Linked DNA regions of Astyanax mexicanus. The protein of the gene in region 3 interacts with the protein of the main gene of each other region in a biochemical or structural test. Links are inferred from orthologs where the notes say so. Each region holds a gene or a part of one and is shown on either strand. Other genes may lie near its edges.

Region 1 (7,504 bases), on a different chromosome or scaffold from region 3:
GGAAATGGGCTGTGATATGAGGAATGCCCTCGCACGCACCCCTTCAACCTGCCACCCACCACACCCCCCTGCAACCCCCCTACAGCCCCCCACACCCCCACATGAAATGCTCCTCACGTGAATTTCTGATGACAAGTAGAGCTGATTTTCTAAACATCTCACCAGATGGCAGGACAGGCCTCCATACACTTCACTCTGTTTAAAACAGGCTCCTCCCACAACTGCTGACCTGCACAGTGCTGGATATGTTCTCAGATGTTCTCAGATCCTGCAGATGATTGACTTATAGTTCTATGTATGTATAAGTAGAGCTGGGCAATATGACCATATTTGATCATTTTGTGGTATTTTTTCTAATTGTATTGACGATATATGCAAAGTAAACACGAATAGGTTTTAGTATTACTAACATGCTAATGTGCTTAAAAGATTTGTTTTCAGTAAATTAAATATTTACTTAAATGTTAGGTCACAAAATAGTGTTTAAGTTGTAAGTAAAGGAACAGCTACATTTTTGAATTTCAGGATTAATATTAAAAATTTTAAGTAACGATTACTAAACAAATTTGGGGGAAAAATTAATTTTGAAATTTAAGGATTAAACTTAAAACTATATTTGGGTCCAATTTTAGATTTAAACTTTTCTAAAAAAATTTAGTAAATTAACTAATAAACTATTATCTCTAAATAATTAGTTAATAAATATAATAGCTAGGTTATAAAATGTATTTTAAAGTACGCAAGCGCTTCATTTGGAAGTATAGTTCTGTAAAAAACGATACTTTTCTATACAGCACTATTTCAAGTAAATGTGCTTAAAACTTTAATTACCTCAATATTTTTAAATGTTCTTTTTCATTGTATATTTGTATTGTGATACATTTACTTAATTCGAAAAAATATACACGTTTTAAAGCATTTCAAAGATATAATCACTGCTTAAAGAACACTTGCTTTAAGACCCAACTGTACATTACATTGCCAAAAAAGAATAATTAGTTGAGATTAATTGGATGAACTGCAGGTTATTCTGAATAAAAGTCACTCTACTCACTATGGGATTGCATTTAACCCTTTCAGACCCTGCATTAATTGCAGTGGACATCATGTAGTTTCTTTTTTTCAAATGTTTTGTTGCACAGAAAAACAATTGAGACCTGTTGTCCATCAGAATAGATCGTAAACCAGTCAGTGAAATAGTAGTTTAGCTTTTATATCATGTTTAGGAATAAAAATTCAGCTAATCGGATTTATTTTTATATAGATTTTATATTTGGATAGTAGTGTCTTATTTTGTGTGACAGCACCATTCTTATATTTTCCCTCACTGGAACATAATTCGGGTCTAGAAGAGTTAAAAAGTGTGTACTGTGAAAATATCTTCAAATACTGTGATCCTATATAGAGGAAGTTAATGAAATAAACTCAGTGGAAGATTATTAACACGACCAACACATTCAGACTCTCAGCAGATAGATCAGCTGCATTTAGAAGCAGGAGATCAGTCCTGCTGCTGTTGATGCTGCAGATACGGTCAGCTGATGCCCTCTTTTGGCAGTGTCCAATTACTGCAGCTTCTCTTTAGGAGATATTATTATATTATTTAATAAGCATTACTTTTGGTAATGCTTCTGTTTTGTCAATGATAGTAATATAGGAATTCAATGCTAAAACAAAAAGCAGACATTCTGAGAGTTTACATGTAGTCAGTGTAGGCCTTGTATATTGTCCCAGGCCTAGTTTAGAGTTTATACAGTCCCTTACTTTCCACTAAAATATACTTCAACCACACTTATCTATCCTTAAATATCACTGAAAGTCCCTTGTTCACATAGAAAGATATAGATATAAAATGAATAAAAATAGAGAGCGAGAGAGAGAGAGAGAGAGAGAGAGAGAGAGAGAGAGAGAGCTTGTGAGGCATGAGAGTAAGAGAGAGAGCAACAAAAATACAAAAATAAAAAATGATGATATAAAATGGAATGCACCAAAACAAAATGACTGAAACCAAACTAAATGAAAAATAAAGAATAGTGAATACGTTTTTCACAGGTTTTACTGAGTTTGCCAAGTATTAAGTGCAGTAGTGAAGTAAAAGTAATACTCCAGTAGATACACATACAGTATTTTAGTACTTAATTACAGTAATGAAGTAAAAATAATACTCCAGTAGATACACATACAGTATTTTAGTACTTAATTACAGTAATGAAGTAAAAATAATACTCCAGTAGATACAGATACAGTATTTTAGTACTTAAGTAGAGTAGTTAAGTAGTTAAAAATAATACTCCAGTAGATACAGATACAGCATTTTAGTACTTAAGTACAGTAGTGAAATAATTAAAAATAATACTCCAGTAGATACAGATACCACATTTTGGTACTTAAGTACAGTAGTGAAATAGTTAAAAATAATACTCCAGTAGATACAGAATTTTAGTATTTAAGTACAGTAGTGAAGTAAAAATAATACTCCAGTAGATGAAGATACAGCGTTTTAGTACTTAAGTACAGTAGTGTAGATATTTTAGCTCTGGTGGGCACATAACCAGAACAAGAAGTGGAATGAAAGAGAGAGACAGAGAGACAGAGAGAGAGAGAGAGCGACAGAGACCCGGAAGAGTTTCGAAACCAGGCCTTTTACTGGAAATGGTGCCAGTGAGAGCAGAAATGACGCTCAGAGTCTCCACCCACTAAACACACACACACACACACACACACACTACTGCATGAACACAGCAGCAGTAGCTCAGCACTGCAAACTGTCCTTATCACATTTATTACAGCTTCAGATTGAGCTGCCACTCAGTCCATTACTCACACAGCTGCCTATCTAATAGTGAGCAGCTGTAATTCTCCCACAGCCTGTTTACCACTCACTAACTCACTAATACTAATATCAGTCTTCACAACAAACAGTATCATCATTTAATACAGAACATCACTTTCCATTAACAACCCCCCCAAACACACCTCCCAGTGTAATAGAGCATCATTTTCTCTTTAATAACACACCCATTTACATTATTCACCAGCAACACACATATGGTTCCAGGAATATTAAATTGTAACATTATATATTAAAAAACATTTCAGAAATGCTCTGAAGAACTGTGATGTAGGCCTAATGACATTTCACATAAACATCCCCAGTTAGCCAAACCCTAACATTATATAGAATAACACAAATACAACTGATGCATAAGGTTTAATTAATGTGACATGCAATGCTTCTATTTCTAAACTTTGTAGGGGAGTTGTTCCTTGCCACTGTGTCACCACAATAATTAGCCTCTTTGTGGTGCTGCTCATAAGAGACGTGGACCTGTTTTTTTTTTTTCTTCAAACCTGCTTTTTGCCAACTTTTGTTGTAAAAAGCGCTATACAAATAAAATTTTATTTAATTTAATTTAATTGAAGTATGCATAACAAATGAGAATTGTATGTGTTTAACTGTAAGAATAAAACGGTAAATAAAAACAATCAAGCAATATCCTCACCCATATGGAAAAATTTGTATAATATATGTAAATTAATTTATAAATACATTTGAAAATTTATGAAATAGGCCAAAAATATTTTTTTGCTAATGTACTGTAATCAATTTTATGTCACAAATAAAGGAATACATGAGCATATATATTTTTTTATATTTTATATATCTTTCCATGAGGGGAAAGTTTCATAGACTGAATGTTCTAAGAACCAACAAAGCATTTATAAAATAAAATAAAAAAACAGACACATTTAGCTCTTACCTCTAACATTTTCTAAACGTTGCGACTTATGCTTCTTAGAACGATTAATTTCTGCAAACACCTACATTTTTTTATTTTATTTATACCTGAACAATTTTAATAACATTTACAGTATACATAATTTTGTTTTTCTGTTGTGTTACGTTTATTTATTTATTCTGCAATTTAAGATTTAGTTGGCATGTTTCAATAATAATGTAATATTTATTATATTATTGTTTTATATTATTTGTGTAAGTTAATAAAATATAGTTTTTCGTGTTTAAACAAACACGTTCATTAAATGTGACCACAGTGATAATGTACTGTATGTGTTGAATCATTGTTTTTGTTTGTTTGTTTGTTTGTTTACTTTTTTAGGAATGTTTTCCAGAACGTTACAGTTTAAAAAGTGTAACTTGGAACGTTGTGTTACAAACGTTCCAATTACGTTGCGATTCAAATTCAAATGCAATTCTTTTTTTTTTTCAATTACTGCGACAAAGCACGTTCCTAGAAACGTTATTTCTGAAAATACTCCTGGAAAGCTTTACAAAACGTTTCCGAACGTTTTAATAACGTTCTTACGGCGTTGTTTTAACGCTTTCTATCAGCTGGGCTAATTAATGGCAGAGGCTGCAGCTCCACCGGCTCTGAACGCTGGAAGGAGCTGCTGAATCGCCGCTCAGCTCAGAAAAGTGAAAGTACAGCCGAGCTGGGAAGGGGAAGAAAACACACACACACGCACACGCACACACAACGCACACACACACTCACAAACACACACATACACACCAACGCACACACGGAAGGCGGATAAGCTTATTTCTCCTTTACATGTGTATACGAAGTGGCGACGAGGAGAGGTGAGTCTCATATTTACTCTCTTTTCTGCTCTTTAACTCTCGCTATAGCAGCCTGTAGCGGTTGTCAGTCGTTGTTTATGTCGTTTAAAAGAAGAAGCTTTTTGCCAACGACTCGAGGAGAAGTTGGTGGACTAGGCCACTGTACTGAGGTGCTTACGCAACATGCGTTTTTTAGCTCTCCACAGATCCATCCGAGCGTAAACGCGCACGGCCTCACCAAACTGAGCCTAAAGTGCCTTCCTCTGTTTAGCGACAGTGTTCTAGTCACTTCCCTGCTCTGACAGGGTTTATCAGAACCTGTATCGACTGTTTTTCTAACCAACGACGTTTATAGAGGGAAAGACAGGCCTACCAGAAACCCCAGGACCTCCCAGATCTCAGATCATCTAAACATCAGCCCACACAGCACATTTACAATTAAATTAACAATGTGGGTTTTAAAAAGATATTTTCATCATTTTATACAGTTAAATCTGTGTGGTTCTAACACTGGCACATTTGCTGTGTACCAGCAATCTTGAATACCCCACCAACACCCACTATAATGGTGTTTAGCTATAGCTATATACAGTATATGTGTGTAAATGCTGTAAAACTGTAGTATAGTCACGCTGTTACTTACTATACTATACTATACTAAGACACTACTCTAGGTTCCAGTTCCCAGTGTTAATCCAGTAATAGCTAATGTAGTCTATATATATATATATATATATATATATATATATCTTTATACACAGTACATGCATATATGTATATATTTGTAATGTATGTACGTTTGTATGTACATGATTTACTAAAGTAAAAAAAAGTTAATTTTTCTTTACACTTTTACACACTAAAGGATAACAGTAAATGCTGTGTTGTATCCTGTTGGAGAAACAAATCACATTTTTTTTTAAAGCAGAAGCCTCCTGCCTGAGCTCAGGTTTCTGTTCCCCCTAGATTACTAAATGCTGCCTGTTTCTATGGCTTTTTGGGCAAGGCCTTCACCAACTGAACAAAGACATATTTAAAGGTTCTCCCTAAGCTAAAAGCCAGCAAGAAAGGTGGATATTTACAATAAAAAATATAAATAAAATGCTTTGAAAATGGTGGGATTTTTTTTTTGATATTTTATTATACATTGTTTACAGCATCTGTCATTGGCACAATAAACAAATTGCCAAATATGTTTTTCTGAAGCTTGTTGGTACAGTTATTCATTGTGGATTTTATTTTTTGTTATATTGATACTGAAATTGTATTGCAAGCAACAAAATTAAGAAACGTATTTTGATACAGATTTTGGCTAATAAACAGTTGTTTTCAAAGCATATCTTGAATTTAATCAGTTCTTAAAGGAAACACACCTACTAAGTATATTTCATTACAAGGAGTGTAGCACGCTCTGAAGAAAAGTCACTGTACATTGTATAGCAAGAATTTTATTGCATGAGTAGCAGTTACTGAGGCATTTTGTCTGTTAATATATTGTGATTAATATTGTGTATCATGAAAATAGCTTTTAAATATTGTGATTCTATATTTGTATTGTATCGTCTATCTCTAATATTACTGTGTGAATCTGTAAAAATGTACACTACTCACAAAAGGTAGAAATATAAAATGTAAAATGTTAATTCTACAAAAAATATTATATAATAAAATAGAGCACTTAAATAGAAGCAATCAGTGTTAATTTCCTCATCTCAATGTTGGATATGCCCCAGCAAAAAAATGGCAGTGTTTCAATAACTAACTTGTCATGTGCTCTTAAGCATCAATTACAGCTTGACAACACCAACACTAACCCCTCACGCTTTTCACAAGTCGACTTATTGTCTGCTGAGTCACGATCATCCCACTCTTCTTTAAGGGTGGCTCTCAGGTCATTAAGGTTCTGGGGTACAGAGTTATGAGCCTGTACACAGTGACTCAGCAGGAAATCTGTGGGATTCAGGTCTGGGGAACGTACAGGCTTCTCTGTTTGAGGTACCCCAGACTATTGATGCAACCTTGATAAGCTAGAGCATTATGGTCTATGAAGATGAAATTAGGCTTGTGTTGTTCATGCAGAGACACGTTTACTGTATGTATTGAACTGTAACACTGTAACACTCCCACCACCAAAATCTCGTCTGGTGACAACAGTGGCTGATGCTTAGAGCTCCTCTTGACGTCTCCAATATCGTTGGCGTCCATAATTTCTGCTCACTGTAAACTGACTTTCACCAGTTACATCAGCACTGAGGCCCACTGATCCCTCGTCCAACATACATGCTCCCTAGGATAGGGGGACATATTGCAAAATCTATTCTGCATGAATTCCAACTGTTGCTTAAAATATCTCTTTAATATACAACTCTGGAAAAAAAGAGACCACTTAAAAATTATGAGTTTTTATTATTTTACCAAAGTGAAAACCTCTGAAATATAATCAAGAGGAAGATGGATGATCACAAGCCATCAAACCAAGCTGAACTGCTTGAATGTTTGAACCAGGAGCGGCATAAAGTTATCAAAAAGCAGTGTGTAAGACTGGTGGAGGAGAACATGCCAAGGTGCATGAAAACTGTGATTAAAAACCAAAATCAGAGAAATTGATTCAGAAACTGAAGTGGTCTCTTATTTTTTCCAGAGCTGTATCTTTCAACAGAATCAAATAATTAATTTTACAGTCTGTTTCCCAATCCTACCTATTGGTTTGTGCTCATCAGTCGACTTATAGTGACTTAATTTCAGGATGGTGGCACTAAGAGATCCACCTGAAGACACTGTGTGTTAGGGTTGCAACTAATGATTGTGTTGGTTGTCGACTAATCTAATGATTATTTTTTTGATTAGTTAATTTTTGAGTGATTATTAGTCAGCGATAATTTCCGCCATGTTTTCCATCTCTAAAAACGATAGAAACAG
Region 2 (7,849 bases), on a different chromosome or scaffold from region 3:
TAGACCTTCAGTCATGCCTGAACAGAATCCTCCTCTGTACTATATACCAGTGCTTTTCATTGTGACTTCCAGCATAAAGAAGGCTATTTCTACTGTAAAGTTGCCGTTTTTGAGTTAAATTAAAATGTAATTAATTACATGTGCTGTGAATACTTAATGTACGTTACATGCATTCATCACTTACTATGAAAGAAACCACAATAGTCTGCAACATTTTCTATGGGCTACATTTTAATATAAGAAGGCTAAAGGACATTTGGGGGCTTGGCAGTTATTAATGCTTTCAGATGAATTTCTGCTTTAAACTGATATGGAGAAAACAATATACTGGGGCATTTTCAATACATTTAAATGCAGTTCAGTTTGTACAGTATGCTGCACAATGTGATTCTTGCTATACAGGACCTTGTATCTCAATTTTTGCCAATTTTCTCTTTTTGACAGAATCTACTAGAGAATCTACTGTAAAGTTGCTATTTTTGAGATACAAGGTTTTTTGTCTGAGACTGGCGATATGCTTCCTAAGTATTTTTTACCTCAGCCATTTGATTAAATCAGTTGAAAGACTTTGATGTTTGATAACCTATTAATTATACATTTATACATGGAATGTACAGTATAAAAAAAAACTCATTTTTGACCATTATTAAAGTATTATGTTCTTTGGTTCAGAGCATTTTTTAGATTTTTTATATTTTAGAGTTTTATTCACCTAAGAGGATGATCAGCTACTATAAAGTAGTGTAGTAATGCTTTATAAAGGATCATTTATAAAACAATTAATTAGTGCTGCCAAGCTTTCCAAAAATTCCTAAGTGATACATGCCTTCAGATGATTTTTTGCTTTAAACTGATATGAAGTAAACCTGCTAAGCAGTTTTCCAGACAGGGATTAAACCTAGTCCTAGACCTTCAGTCAGGCCTGAAGAGAATCCTCCTCTATACTATTTTAGCCAGAATTATTTGCATTAAATGCATTTTATCATGTATCTCCATTTTTGCCTTTTCCCCCTTTTTGACAGAATCTACCAATTCTTTTCATTGTGATTTTCAGTGTAAAAAAAAGGCTATTTCTACTGTAAAGTTGCCATTTTTGAGATACAAGGTTTTTGTCTGACACCGACGACATTCTTCCTAAGTATCTTTACCACAGCCGTTTGATTAAATCAGCCAGAGTTACATATAGACCTGCTATCTACTGTCACTTCTTGTCTTGGTGAAACTGCTCCAGAAGATTATAACTGATACGAGACAGTCTCACCAACTACCTTATCTCTCAGATAACTCATCGTCTGCAGCCAAGAGAGAGAGAGCTCTGAGTTCACTAACTACAGTTTAACTCAAAACAAAGAGTTTAAAATGAATTCTACAAGTGCATTTTGGAAATGAAAATAAGTGCATGAAATGGAGCTTTATTTTTTAATGCAATTAATGCAATATTTAATATATTTGGTATATTTTTGCCATTTCTTTTTTTTGTTTAACAATAATATATTATTACAATAACTTTGTTGCTGTCATACAAAACATTTTATAAACTCAAAAAGAAAAATTATTCAGTGTACAATGACTTAATTCATTTTATTCTTGTTCAAGCAGTTTTATAGGTCAATTCAACAGGAAATTTGGACGTAATCTAAAAAAACTGGCTCAAACTATCTTATATATATATATAATTTGAGAAATAAATTAAATGTACTTATTCACATAAATAAGTGCACTTTAAAATAGTATTTAACCCTCCTGCTATCCTCAAATTTACAAACACCATTTATTATCTGGTCAATATGATCCCAGCAATTTAAACCTTCAGAAAAATATCATAATTACAGATCATTAAACATGTTAGCAAAGTTTACTCATCAGTTACTTTATGTTTATTTTTAAAAATATAATCTGTTCTGGCATTATTGTGTTTTATTAGTATTATGTAAGTATTATAAGTAATGTTTTGTTAAATCAGGGCCTAAAGTAAAGGGGCATTTAGAAAAAGATTCTAAAATGGAATGTCATAGTGATCTTAACATTATTACCACACAAAAATGTGTCAAATATTTCTTAGATATTTCTTATGTTTTATGTCAATAAAACAGCCTTAATAAAAAATACATTAAAGTTGAAACATTTGAAACATTTTGTTTTTCGTTAATTGTCTTCATTAAATTAAGAAAAGACAATGAATATAAATGACAAAACTAATGTCAACCTTTTTTTTAGAGACTTTAAACACTAAATGGGGTCAAATTTACCCCACAGATAATAGGAGGGTTAATGCCACTACATATATTTTCTATCAACACAACATATAATTTAAAGCCTACTGCTTAAAAATACTTTTTATGGAAATACAGAAAAAGTTTAATTTAATTTGTATTTTCATAAAATATATTAAATATATAAATTTACTTTTAGTATTCTTTACCTAATTTGATCATACTTTCGGTGTTCTTAACTATATACTTCCTTTTCACCCGGGAAATTGATCAGTATTCAATCTGAATGAACACAGTCTTACATATATAGTAGGTATGTAATGTTTGCCATCATTTTGAAGCACTTTTTTGTACAGCATTGTATAGAGTTTCTTTTAAACTTGGGGGCGGGTGGGCTTTTTTGCCATGTCTACAGATACTTTTAACAGGTTAAATAAGGTTTAAAAGGTAAAATTTCAGTCACAGATTAGACACACCTTCAATACAGTGTTTTTTCATTATTCTAAACTTTGAATCTGCATTGTAGATCAATACTACAGTCATCCAAACTATGAAAGAATATATGTGGAATTATTCAGTTAGCAAGAAAGTGTTCAAACAAACCAGAATATGTTTTATATTTTAGATTCTTCAAAGTATTCCTCTTGCTTAGATAGAGACAGTTTTACACATATCTGCTGGATTTTCTCAGTCAGCTTTATGAGGTAGAGTTACCTGGAATTCAGGCTTTCAGTTAACAGCTGTGCTGAACTCGTCAAGAGTTAATTACTTGAATTTCTTGTCTCTTAATTTGTTTGAGAGCATCAGTTGTAAACAGGTATACAGTAAATAGTGAATATTTAAGTAATATTTTTATTTTATCTTATCCATACTTAGCGTAAAGAGGTAAAGCTAAGGTATTTAAGAAAATCTAAATGTATTTTTTTAAATCTAAACAAGCTCACTATAATCAATTCAGGTCAACCTTGTTTTCATCAAACGTCAGTTTTCACTAAAATTGCCCACCCTGTTGTGCAGATTGCTATGACACACATTTTATTAAATATATAAGAAGGATATATTTGGATGAGCTTAGTTTTTTTTTTACCTTTCAGGCAAAATCTTCCAGATTTGTTTCACATACGTTTAAATAGCTCAATAGGAAACAATTCACTTCTTTAAATCTTTAAACAACTTCCTCATATTATAATTTTTTTTCTGCCACACTTAATTAAAAGAGTTACAATAAAACAACACATATGTACACAGTACATACCTTCTCATTTACTATTTTTTTTTTTTACATTTTTTAAATAATGTATATATTTATATACATATATAAACTATAAAGAAATGCATATGTACTTATAAAAAAACAAAAAGTTAAACAAGCCAAAATATGTTTATACTTTAGATTCTTTAGCACCTTCTTTAAAAGTAGCACCTTTTGCTCAAAGGCCAGTTTTGCACATCCTGTCTGATTATCTCAGTCAGTAATTAAGTCATTAAGTAAAACCTGGAATGGTTCTACAACTGTCTCAAAGGAGTTTTAGAAATGCTGAGCTCTAACTCATCCCAAAAATCCTGAGTTAGGTTTTTATGCCGGGTGTATGTGAAGTAACTAACTGCATATGTGTACCTTCATAGTTTTTAAATCTTTAATATTAATACCAATGTAGTATATATATATATATATTTATCCCTTTCAGACTCTGCATACATCACAATGGACATCATGTATTTTCTTTATTTTTAAATATTTTGTTGCCCATAACACTATTAGCATTATTTGAGAGCTGTTGTCCATTAGAATAAACCACTTAAGACCCTTTGTCCTCTTTTGAGGACACTACATTTCTGCATTTCTGTATCATTATTCTACATTTGTTAAAACGTCAACCCTTTGTCCTTATATGGAGACACTGCCTGTACCATCTGGTGGTCGCATGCAACAGTACTCTCGATTGATTAAAAATAAGATACTGGGTTTTTGTACTAATTGGGGTCTTCTCATCCCAAATTGCAAGGATCATTTTTAAATGTTAAAATAAACTATTCTCTACCTACTAGGGCAATGTGATTTGCAAAAAAAATGACTTTCTGTACAAAACAAAGTTTCGTTTTTATACTTGTTCGGTCCTACTGATTCCACATAGATATAATACATAAAAAAATGCACACCAAGCAAACGTTCGGTCTTTTTTTATAGGAAGTTATAAATAATATATAATATTAAAAATTATAATAACATTGTTTGTATAAAACGTAAACTGTAAACTATACTGCAGACACAGGGAAGATATATTGATATATACTGAAATTGACCCTTAAATCCACTTCTTTAAATCTACTTCTTTAAATCCATTTAAATCCATTTTAAACCATTAAAACAGCCCAACATTGGAGAATGTTGGGGTATATTGGTCCGTTTAGGGACGGCCAGCAAAACGGGCCAATTAGACGACCCCCAAAGTCTTCTAAAGTGGCACCAATTATTCCTTCATCCTACGTTAAAGCTCGCCGAATGGCAGGCAGCATGGAGGTGGACAGGAAGAAGCGTGTTGGCTGAGCTGCCTCTTGATTGGCTATTGGGGGAGGTGACACACTGCGTCTGTTCGAACTGAGTAGTTATAATCCCCACCTGACATCACCCTAAAATCAGGAACCAGCAGCAGGCTCTCTCTCACACACACTCACACACACACACACACACATACCCAAAAATAAAGAAGTAACAAACAGAAAGCCCTGTCCTTTTTGGTCACGCTTGCTGTTAGGCTAACTTGCTACTTGCTCTGACTGTATCTTTAGCCGCTTTCTGTTGATTTCAAGGGCCCTGGAAAGCAGCAGTGTGGCCCCCACTGGATAAGGTGTTTGCGGGTGTGTGTGTGTGCGAGTGTGCATGCGAGCGGCGTCCGAGATCTTTGGTTTCATTTGGTAAGAGGAAATTTAGTTGTGCAATGGCTCGGGGACAGTTTTGAAAGCCATTGAGAGGGTTAGCGCGAAGAGCTAGAGCTAGAGCGAAGCCGAGAAGACCCCATATGTTGCCTTCGTACAGAATGGAGGGGTACATCATCCCACCTGTGAGTATTCCCCATCTTTCCTAAGAGTGTGTGAGCGCGTGGTGAAGTGTGTGTGTGTGTGATGTTGCGTTGTGTTGAGTTATCGCAGTAGAAATTTGAAATTGATGAGATTGGGTTTTGAACTAGCTATAGTCAAAGTGATGACAGGGTTTAGCCGTTCCTAACAGTGGCCTTAAGCCTGTGTAGCCATTTTAATGCTAAATAATTACAGTTTAAAAATGCAATATATATGTGTATGTATATGTGTATTGTACTTGTACTTGCAGTTGTGCAGTGTATAGTTTTGTTGCTAATCTTTGCCATTTAAACAACAGTAACTTTTCAAGTTTTTTTTTGCATTTGATTCATTTCCACATATATGTCAAAAAATATAAAATTTCTTCTGATCTATTCTGATCTTATCCATATATGTATATGTATATGTGTATTGTACTTGTACTTGCAGTTGTGAAGTATATAGTTTGCTTGCTAATCTTTTCCATTTAAACAACAGTAACTTTTCAACTTTTTGCATTTGATTAATTTCCACATATATGTCAAAAAATATACAATTTCTTCTGATCTATTCTGATCTCATCCACTGTAGATGACTTGATGTGATCAATCTCTTGTCGTGTATATATGTATATGTTGTTAAATGAAATCAAATTTCAACCTTAAAATGTCTTAAAAATCTAATGTTATTAACATTATCGAGCAACCAATGTCAATCAATCATTCGTAACAAATTCAACTAATATATCAACTAACATATTACAGCCAATCATTTATCCAATCTTTTCTACTAAAAAAAACTTTTTTTTTTTAAAGGTGCTACAAAGGGCTTAATAAGCAATGCCACAAAAGAACCACTTTAGTTTACATTGAGAAATAATAATAATAATAATAATAACAATAATAATAATAATAATAAAAAAGGATAGTTCGTAAAAAATGGATGTGGGCTTTAAATATAAAAAAAAATATTTTTAAAAAATCATAAAAAAGAACATGTTCACACTCTTGTAAAGATTTCTTATAACAAAAACTGACTTTCTGAAGACAAAAGTGGTTCTTTTATTTATGGCATCCCTCAAGAAACCATTTGTGGCACCCTTACATATATAATTTTTTAAGGATGTAAAAATAAAGAACTGTTCACAGAAATTACTGAATTACTGAACTATAATTTCTGTGTGTAATAGAAAATAACCCGGACTGGCTGGATGTCACAGACACCTTCTGAATTTAAAGATTACTGGGCCCTTGTAAACAAAGATGTGAGGCTCGTGTTTCTCATCCTGCTCATAAATATATACTGCATTCATATTTCTGCATTGAAACTTTGGGGCTTTGCTTTGGTGTTTTGCGTTCTGAGTGGTCAAAAACGATCTTTTCCCACTTTCACCCTGCAGCCGACGGAAGAGCTGATCTATGAGACGGACATCTATCGACCGCCGATGGAGTATCCGTACATAATCGATGGAGAGAGTGGCCAAAGTGGTAAGAAGCTGCTTTTTTTTTATTATTTTAGCTTTATATTAGCTCTGTTTTTTACTGCACTTGTGGGTCAACTCCCAATGTAATTTTATATATGTACAGTACTGTGTAAAAGTACACTAATTGAGTGTTTTTGCCTGAAAAAAGCACTATATGTGATTTAAACAGATGCAAATAAACATAATACATTAAAAAGTAACAGGAATTTCTCATTTTTACCTAAGTAGGTTATATCCTGTGAGCCAAGCTTTAGAACAAAGTTTAGTTCCACATTTCTCCTGGATTCCCTCAGACAAGCCAGCATATGATATGTTCAGTTCCGTCAGCAGCTCACCTGATTTAACATCAGTAAGATGTTAAAGATTTGATTTACCAAACCAGGTGTTGATATGATGAGAACTAGAAATAACTCTATTAAACTCAGATGAGGAGAGATTAGGAGATGTTTTAAGGAAAACAGTGCTGTAAAAACTCTGCTTTTTGTAAATTAGCTGTTTGTATCTATTGTATCTATATGACCAATCAGAGGAGACGATGTGCTTGCATGGTATATCTGTGCAGAGTGAAGCTGCTTTAATACAGAATGCTAAAAAGGTGCTGCTGCGCTTTTAAACACTGAACGCTGCACATGCCGTGCTCTTAGTGTGTAAACAGCATGGAGCAGCAGAGACAGCATTTGTTCATAGCTGTATATTACCTGATCAGATAATATATAATATATAATATATAACATATCAGATTAAACTGCGCCTAATCATTAGTTTAGCTCAATTAATAAAGAAAAAAGAATATTTAATTGCTGGGTCAGATCAAGACCGGATCACGTTCTTGCCACAAGCAAAACGCTCCAGAAAAAAAAAAAATGCATATTGAGTGGAGGCGGAGCAGATTATGGCAGATTATGACTGCTAGTGTTTTACTGCTAGTGTTTACTGTTAGTGTTTTACTTAGTGTTTTACTGCTAGTGTTTACTGTTAGTGTTTTACTTAGTGTTTTACTGCTAGTGTTTACTGTTAGTGTTTTACTGCTAGTGTTTTACTGCTAGTGTTTACTGTTAGTGTTTTACTTAGTGTTTTACTGCTAGTGTTTACTGTT
Region 3 (6,965 bases):
TTGTGATTTTTTCACCACTAACATTATAGAGGTTTATTAGATTTTAGACAAAAAAAAGTATATTAGACTGGACAGATTGGATTGGAAAAATAGTATATGGACCTTGATGCTCTTCTCCAACTTTAAAAGTTAGTACTACTTTGCAATAGTTCTTACTTATTCTAACTTTACATCTGTATCATGTATTTAGAGTTTTAGAGAAATATGTGATGAATAATGTCTTAGAGACTTCAGTTCCCATACTGAATGGTGGATGGAGCAAGACATTTCTTTATATTTCATTCTTAAGTAGATCTTTTAGAGCTTTTTTACTTTTGTTCGTCTGCTCTAATATTTTTACGACTTTCTGATCTTTCTCTAGAACTTTTATTCTTTCATCGTTCATTCATTATTCTATTTCAAACCCAAAAGAAAAAGAGCAGACTGTAGTCAACTTGCTGATGGAAGCTTAGTATTTTTTTCCAGTTCCAGTTGGTGGAATTCTACCAAGATTGTCTAAGACAGTGGTTCTCAAACTGTGGTACGGATACCCCTGGTGGTACGTGAAGCATCCCAAGATGGTACACTAGATAACCTCAAAAAAAAATCAGCTTGCATTAAAATAACTCTAGAACTCTACCATAATCTATCATGTTTCCAGCTGTAATTTTCATTGACCCTAGAGTAAAACCCTGTGGAACACCACAAGATATGCTTATACCAACCAACTATTCACCAACAGTTCAATTAAATTAGTAGCTAAATAGCTAAAAAAGATGTCTTAGTAGGAAAACTGTATAAGCCAGAAACAATAATCAATCAAACAATTTACCACACAAACTAACTTACAGAAAAAAGAAAAGAAAAAGCAGACCACATATCAGGTGACGAACCACTGTCTACAGATATGAGGACATGTATATGTGTGGATTACACCTCTAGATTACTGTGTATAAATAACTATGTGTGTGGTAACTACATGTGTTCCTGTGAAATGGCTAGTAGGTGGTACTTGAACGTTTTCGTTTGGTCATTGGTCTAAAATGTTTTTTTTTTCTTCAGTTCTAAAGCTTCTAGAGCTTTGAGCTGAGACATCTGTTCTTCTTTTTTATTGTTATTCTTCTATTTGTACACTAAATGGTGATCTTTATCAGTTTATAACAAAACGAGAAGAACAGGGTCTTGATAGACTTCCTATCAACAGTTCCTACACTGACGACACTGGTGGATGGACCAAGAAGTTCCTCTTAAGTTACTGAAAGTACTCGGGTAAAATTTGGGAGATGCTACTTTTCATTCCTTAACTTGTTTTTAATTTAAATTTAATTTTTATTTGTTTTGCTCTAGGGTTTGTACTACATTGTGAAAGTTCTCAAATCTAACTATAAATCTGTATAATTTATTTAGAGTTTTAAGAGAAATATGAGAAGAGTTCTGGCTAAGATTGGATGGAGAAATAAACGCTTTTGCAGTTCAAAAACAGATTTCAAGTAGATCGTTTTAGAGCTTTTTAACATTTGTTTGTCTACTCTAATATTTTCACCTTTTTCTGATCTTCCTTTAGAACTTCATTCATCATTCATTCATCCTTTTATTTCAGACCACAAAAAAAACAGACGCTTGTCAACATACTGATGGAAGCAGATTTTCTTCCAGTTCGAAGAATCCTACCTAGATTGTATTAGAAGTTTTTTTTCTGCAGTTTAAAGCTTCTAGAGCTTGAAGCTAAGACGTCTGTTCTTCTTTTTTTATTGTTACTCTACTATTTGTACACTAAATAATGATCTTTATCAATTAACACCAAAACGAGAAGAACAGGGTCTTAACAGACTTCCTACCATCAGTTCCTATACTGACTAAAGGTGGGTGGATCAAGTAGTTCCTCTGAAAAGTTCTTGAGAACAAAATACTTGGGTAAATGTTGGAGATGCTACATTTTGTTCCTCTACCTTTTTTTTGAAAACTCTTGTCATACTTTCTCTGAAGTTAATATCAGGTATCTTCAGGTGGACTCACCTTGAAGAGCGCAGCATCCTCGTCGCGGTTGTAGTCCTGCTTTCCCGCGTGTTTCCAGGGTATCCTGAAAATGGTTTTCTCGTCATTCTCCCAGACCAGGCCGGGATATTCCCCGCTATCAATCTGCTCGATGAGCCACTGCCTAAGCTTGCCATTGCCACAACTGACTGACATGCTGCAGTCCCCATCTAAATTCATGCCTGCCAAAGGACGCATGCGACAGTGGTGACCGGACATGCAGGTGCACAGCTCGGATCATGCAAATGCCAACGTGCCTTGGAGAAGATGCTGAGCCTGCTGAGAGAAGCTGCATGCACTGGAACTGTGAGCCTGGATATGATATAATATCAATTATATTAATAAAATGAATCATGCACTGAAGTCTAAACTAAAATAAAATACGTGTGAGTGCTGAAATCAAAAGTGCCGCACTTTTTGTTTTGTGCTGCACTTTAATTTAATAAAACAATGAATTAAAATGTACTAAAATTTCACTTGAGGCTTCAATAATGTTCTATGATGTTCTAATGGTTCTAAAGGTTCTCCAGACTGCTCAGTCTCCAGGCTGCAGGCTCCGTTCCCCAGCTCTTACCTCAGTGATCGCACTGCGCAATGCTCCTCAATCGCAGCTCTGAAACTTCTCCTGCACCAGAGTGGGCTGAGAGACGCTCCAGCGCTTAAGAAGCCTTCAACTGCAGCGCAAAAGGGGCGGGACCTAAATACAAGTGGGCGGGGCTATAAAAATACACTGAATTCTGTCACCACAATTCACAGTCAACAGAAACATATTATACATATAAGTACTATAATACTTTTACTAGAAACATTTACTAGATCTGGTCACTGGCGTTCATTGGACCCAGGAGCGCCTAGACTCATTTCTATATATTGATACAACATTTAATACATTTAATAAATGTAATAAAAAGCTCATTAATATGTATGAAATCCGGTTCTATTTAAACTAGTTTTACACATATTCAGTACCATAGAACTAAAAAAAAATTCGAGTATGCATCTGCAATGCTTTAATCATGCTAGTAGTAGTAATAATAATAATAATACATTGTATTAAAATAAATACAAAAACATAAAAAAATAAAATATAAAGATATGTCACGTGCTGTCCAGAAAGTATGTTAATAGCGGAAAAGTCAATATTGTTTTTTTTTTTGTTTAATTATGCAATAAAAATGTATTACATCAACACGAAAGAACAACAAAGCAAGCACACAATGATTCAACGACCTCTTAGTTTTAACTTGTTATGATCTGTTGGACTGTTTAAAATTGTGATAGCCTCTATGCTGCGTCAATAATCCATTATATGGAATATATAGATGTGGCATTATATTATATTTCCTATATTATATTATAGGAAAACTCGTTTGTAAAATTGCGTTTAAAGCTTGTTTTAATCAACTTAAACGTGTTCATACATTTGTAAAATAATTCTGAACTGAAACTTCGCTTGTTGGCAAAAAAATTTTTATAGCCGATTGATTGTATCTTATAGAAACTGTTGGCCTTTAGTATTTTGCGTTTGTGTTTTATTTTCATTTTAATATGCATAATCAAACTAATCAACGATTTTGTAAGCCAGAGTGACTCTCTAAAGACTTCAACCAACTAAAATATGCTAATTAATCAGTTATAAAAAATGGCCATAGAACATTAAAGCATTAGAGAATTATCTCTATTTTCTTGTTTTTGATATCTGAGTGCATTGGATGTTTCATACTTTTGTACATTTATTTAAGTTAGGAGGACTTCTACTTTTACTGGAATAAAGGCCAACGCACGCTCTTTAGCGCAGCCATAGTTTTTACTAGAGGTAGGCACATTGAATCGGCGCTCCAGGACTCCGATCATGGTTAAATGTAAAGTCATTATTACATTAAGTCAAAGCCAAAACAATACTACAAAAATAATGAATTACTTTACATTTACAACAAATACAAGAATTCCAATATTCGAGTAGGCCGCCTCTCTGTAGCTTGTTAATATCGCGTCTACAATAGGATAAAACATATTGTGATATAAGCTGTTAGTGATGGTAAAAAGATTGTGATTTACACGACGAATTGAGATCAAATTGTACATAGTGGATCACTAGTAATAAGCAGTAAATACGTAAACATAACTTTACATACATACATACATACATACATACATACATAATTTTACTTAAGCCATAAAGGCACAGACGCATTTCAGAATATTGATACCAAGTTTAAAATTGAATCAGCTGATTTCAGTGAAAAGCTTATATTAATATTTATTTTTCTTATTGTGATCACATGACTGTAAATATTTTAGGTTTAAAATCCTGATGTAACACAAATAACACAACAATTTCATGACTTTCGTGACGTTGATTATATTTTAACATTTTGTTCTAGAAATCAAGTCAAAACTTGTTCAAATGGTTGGAACATATGCGTAAGCAAATAATGCCCTTTTTAAAGGATCTAAAAAATGTCTGCACTTCCATCTTTACAATCTGCAAATATCGCTGTAATATGTGCTGTGATGATGCTCTTAGGATGTTCAGTAGATGTCACTTTGGAGCTTCATGAATTAAAGTGTAAGACAGAGTGCTTTAACCCTTTTAGACCCTGCGTCCATTACAATGGACATCATGTATTTTCTTTTTTTTTCTTTGATGTTTTGTTGCACATAACATTATTTGAGACCTGTTGTCCATCAGAATAGACCATGCAGCAGCCAATAAAACAAGTCAATGCAAGCCAATGAAACAGTAGATTAGCCCCGCCCACTGCACTGAAAAAATGACAAGAGCTCATATTTGCTCATTTTATGTTCTTTAGAACCATTTTTATTAATATAAAATGAAATGTTAAACAGGTATTCAATGCAATGGGCATTTAAATAAATTCAATTTTTTAGTTGGATTCCATTTTTGTATAGATGTTTTATTAGAGTATTTTGCGTGTGCACTACAAGACAGAAAACAGCATTCTTACCGTTTTTTGTCACTGGAACATAATTCAGGGTTCATTCATAATGAAAGGGTTAAGGAATGTTACACAACATCTTTTAAACGTCTTGGGTTAAGACTACAATAAATCATCCATAGAAATTAAATGGAATTAATTTACACAGCAGTTATGGATTATTATAATAAGAATAATAAATGCTGAATTATATACATGTTAAAATATATATTAAAGGTGTGCTGTGCTGCTGGTGGGCGTGGCCTGAGCTCCACGCTCGAGGGGTTTCTCTGAAGAGAGGTAGAGTAGTAAACATCCCGCCGGGGAATCCCACCGAGCCGCCGCGCGCCCGGCCGCGGAACATCGGCCGTCCCAGCGCGCGCTCCTCATCACACTCATCCGTTCCGATATCCGCTGATTGCGCGCGGCTGTTTTTATCGAGTGGGCTGCGGGAGTTTACAGCCGCTCCGCAGCCCGGTCTGATCGGATCCGGTAAATCAGACTCCACCCAGAAATACCCGTCCTACCAGTTTAATGTCAGACTGGAGCTTCTTTCCACTGCTGGGGTTAGTGGTGTTCACCAAACCACGGAGAGAAACGGAGATAATAATACAAAAATAAAATACCCCTATTTAACCCAACCAAACTCAAGAGTTACTGGGTGAAATTAGTGCCATCTGGCGGAATGAAGCATTAGTACCACCTGTACAGGTATGAGACAGCATGTCCAGCTATGATTGTTGACTTACCTTTTTTTGGGACATAAATGCGTATTAGCTGAAACATCATCAATAACACACGAATCTGATCCAACATTAGTTAGTAAATGACATAATAAGAATTACAAAAGGATAAAAACAAGTTAATCAAACTGCCAACTGAAACAAACAAACAAAACTATTCCAAAATCATAATGCATCTCAAAAAAAAAAGAGAAAGGATGTCAAATTAACCCTTTCATACCTGGATTACGCTCCAGATAAGAATTATGTTTTTGGTCTATAATGCAAACAAAATAAGACACTACAACCCTAATATAAAATCTTAATAAATTAAATTTACTATAACCAATTAACTATATTTTTATACCTAAACATGATAAAAAAGTGTTTTAAATCACAAAAAATATAGGAAAAACGAGTTTGTATTACTTTGCCTCATTTGTTCTTTAGTCCTGACGCCCTAATGTCTCAGTTGCCGATTTTTTTTTGTCCAGTCCAGTGGGCGGGGCTAAGCTACTGTTTTATTGGCTGGTTTATAATCTATTCTGATGGACAACAGGCCACAATTAATGTTTGCAGTAAAATAACTTCTTTACATTCTACAAATTTTGAGGGCTTTGAAATCTCCTACAGGCCACTTTGAAAATCGGCCTGTTTTCTCTCTACTTCACTTAATAATTGCAAATTACTAACAGGAATCAACCCATGTTGAAAATAGTCGTTAAAAACTAGACAAACATAGTAAAACTAAAGGTTTGGAGCACATGAACTGGAAAATATTAATTTTAAATTGAAGTGCAGGAAAAAAGTCAATTTTATGATTTTATTCATTATATTTTGACATATTTTGGCAGATTTAGTTTTTTCTCTATTATGATTTCAATTATACTTTTCAGCAATGTTCCTTATCAATCATGAAAACTTTTAATATAATGATTGAATAGAAATACTTAAGATTAAGTGGTGTAATATCAGGCAGACAACTGACAAAAATCCTGGCCTCTAAATAGTAAGAAAGACATCTAAATAATTGACTTAATTTTTATACAGTACAGTATCTTAAAATAATGTCTTTGTGTCTTGAAATATAGAGGCTTATTATCTTAAAATAATGAAACGGTGTATCAAAACAACGACATAGTATCTCAAAATTATAACTTAGTATCTAAATCCTAAATAATACATTGTAAATGAATACTGAAGTGATTCACATTATGAAGGAACACATAAGGAATCATGTAGTAACTTAAAAGTGAACCAAAATACTCTGTGAAGAAGCTTTTAGATGCTC

The links.
Region 1: the proteins of irf4a (region 3) and stat6 form a complex in vitro, tested with the Homo sapiens proteins (2 studies listed by BioGRID). The link is inferred for Astyanax mexicanus from reciprocal best matches to the Homo sapiens genes IRF4 and STAT6.
Region 2: the proteins of irf4a (region 3) and spi1b are reported together in a solved structure, tested with the Homo sapiens proteins (2 studies listed by BioGRID, with this or other methods). The link is inferred for Astyanax mexicanus from reciprocal best matches to the Homo sapiens genes IRF4 and SPI1.

What each region holds. Positions count from the first base shown.
Region 1 is NC_064420.1:43,313,500-43,321,003, forward strand, and holds the start of stat6 (signal transducer and activator of transcription 6), read left to right. Parts: upstream 1-4,485; 5' UTR 4,486-4,606; intron 4,607-7,504. UniProt on the Homo sapiens protein: Carries out a dual function: signal transduction and activation of transcription. Involved in IL4/interleukin-4- and IL3/interleukin-3-mediated signaling.
Region 2 is NC_064430.1:7,877,538-7,885,386, reverse strand, and holds the start of spi1b (transcription factor PU.1b), read left to right. Parts: upstream 1-4,830; 5' UTR 4,831-5,233; coding exon 5,234-5,275; intron 5,276-6,459; coding exon 6,460-6,534; intron 6,535-6,669; coding exon 6,670-6,757; intron 6,758-7,849. UniProt on the Homo sapiens protein: Pioneer transcription factor, which controls hematopoietic cell fate by decompacting stem cell heterochromatin and allowing other transcription factors to enter otherwise inaccessible genomic sites.
Region 3 is NC_064415.1:8,773,211-8,780,175, reverse strand, and holds the start of irf4a (interferon regulatory factor 4a), read right to left. Parts: upstream 3,001-6,965; 5' UTR 2,588-3,000; intron 2,326-2,587; 5' UTR 2,233-2,325; coding exon 1,996-2,232; intron 1-1,995. UniProt on the Homo sapiens protein: Transcriptional activator. Binds to the interferon-stimulated response element (ISRE) of the MHC class I promoter. Binds the immunoglobulin lambda light chain enhancer, together with PU.1.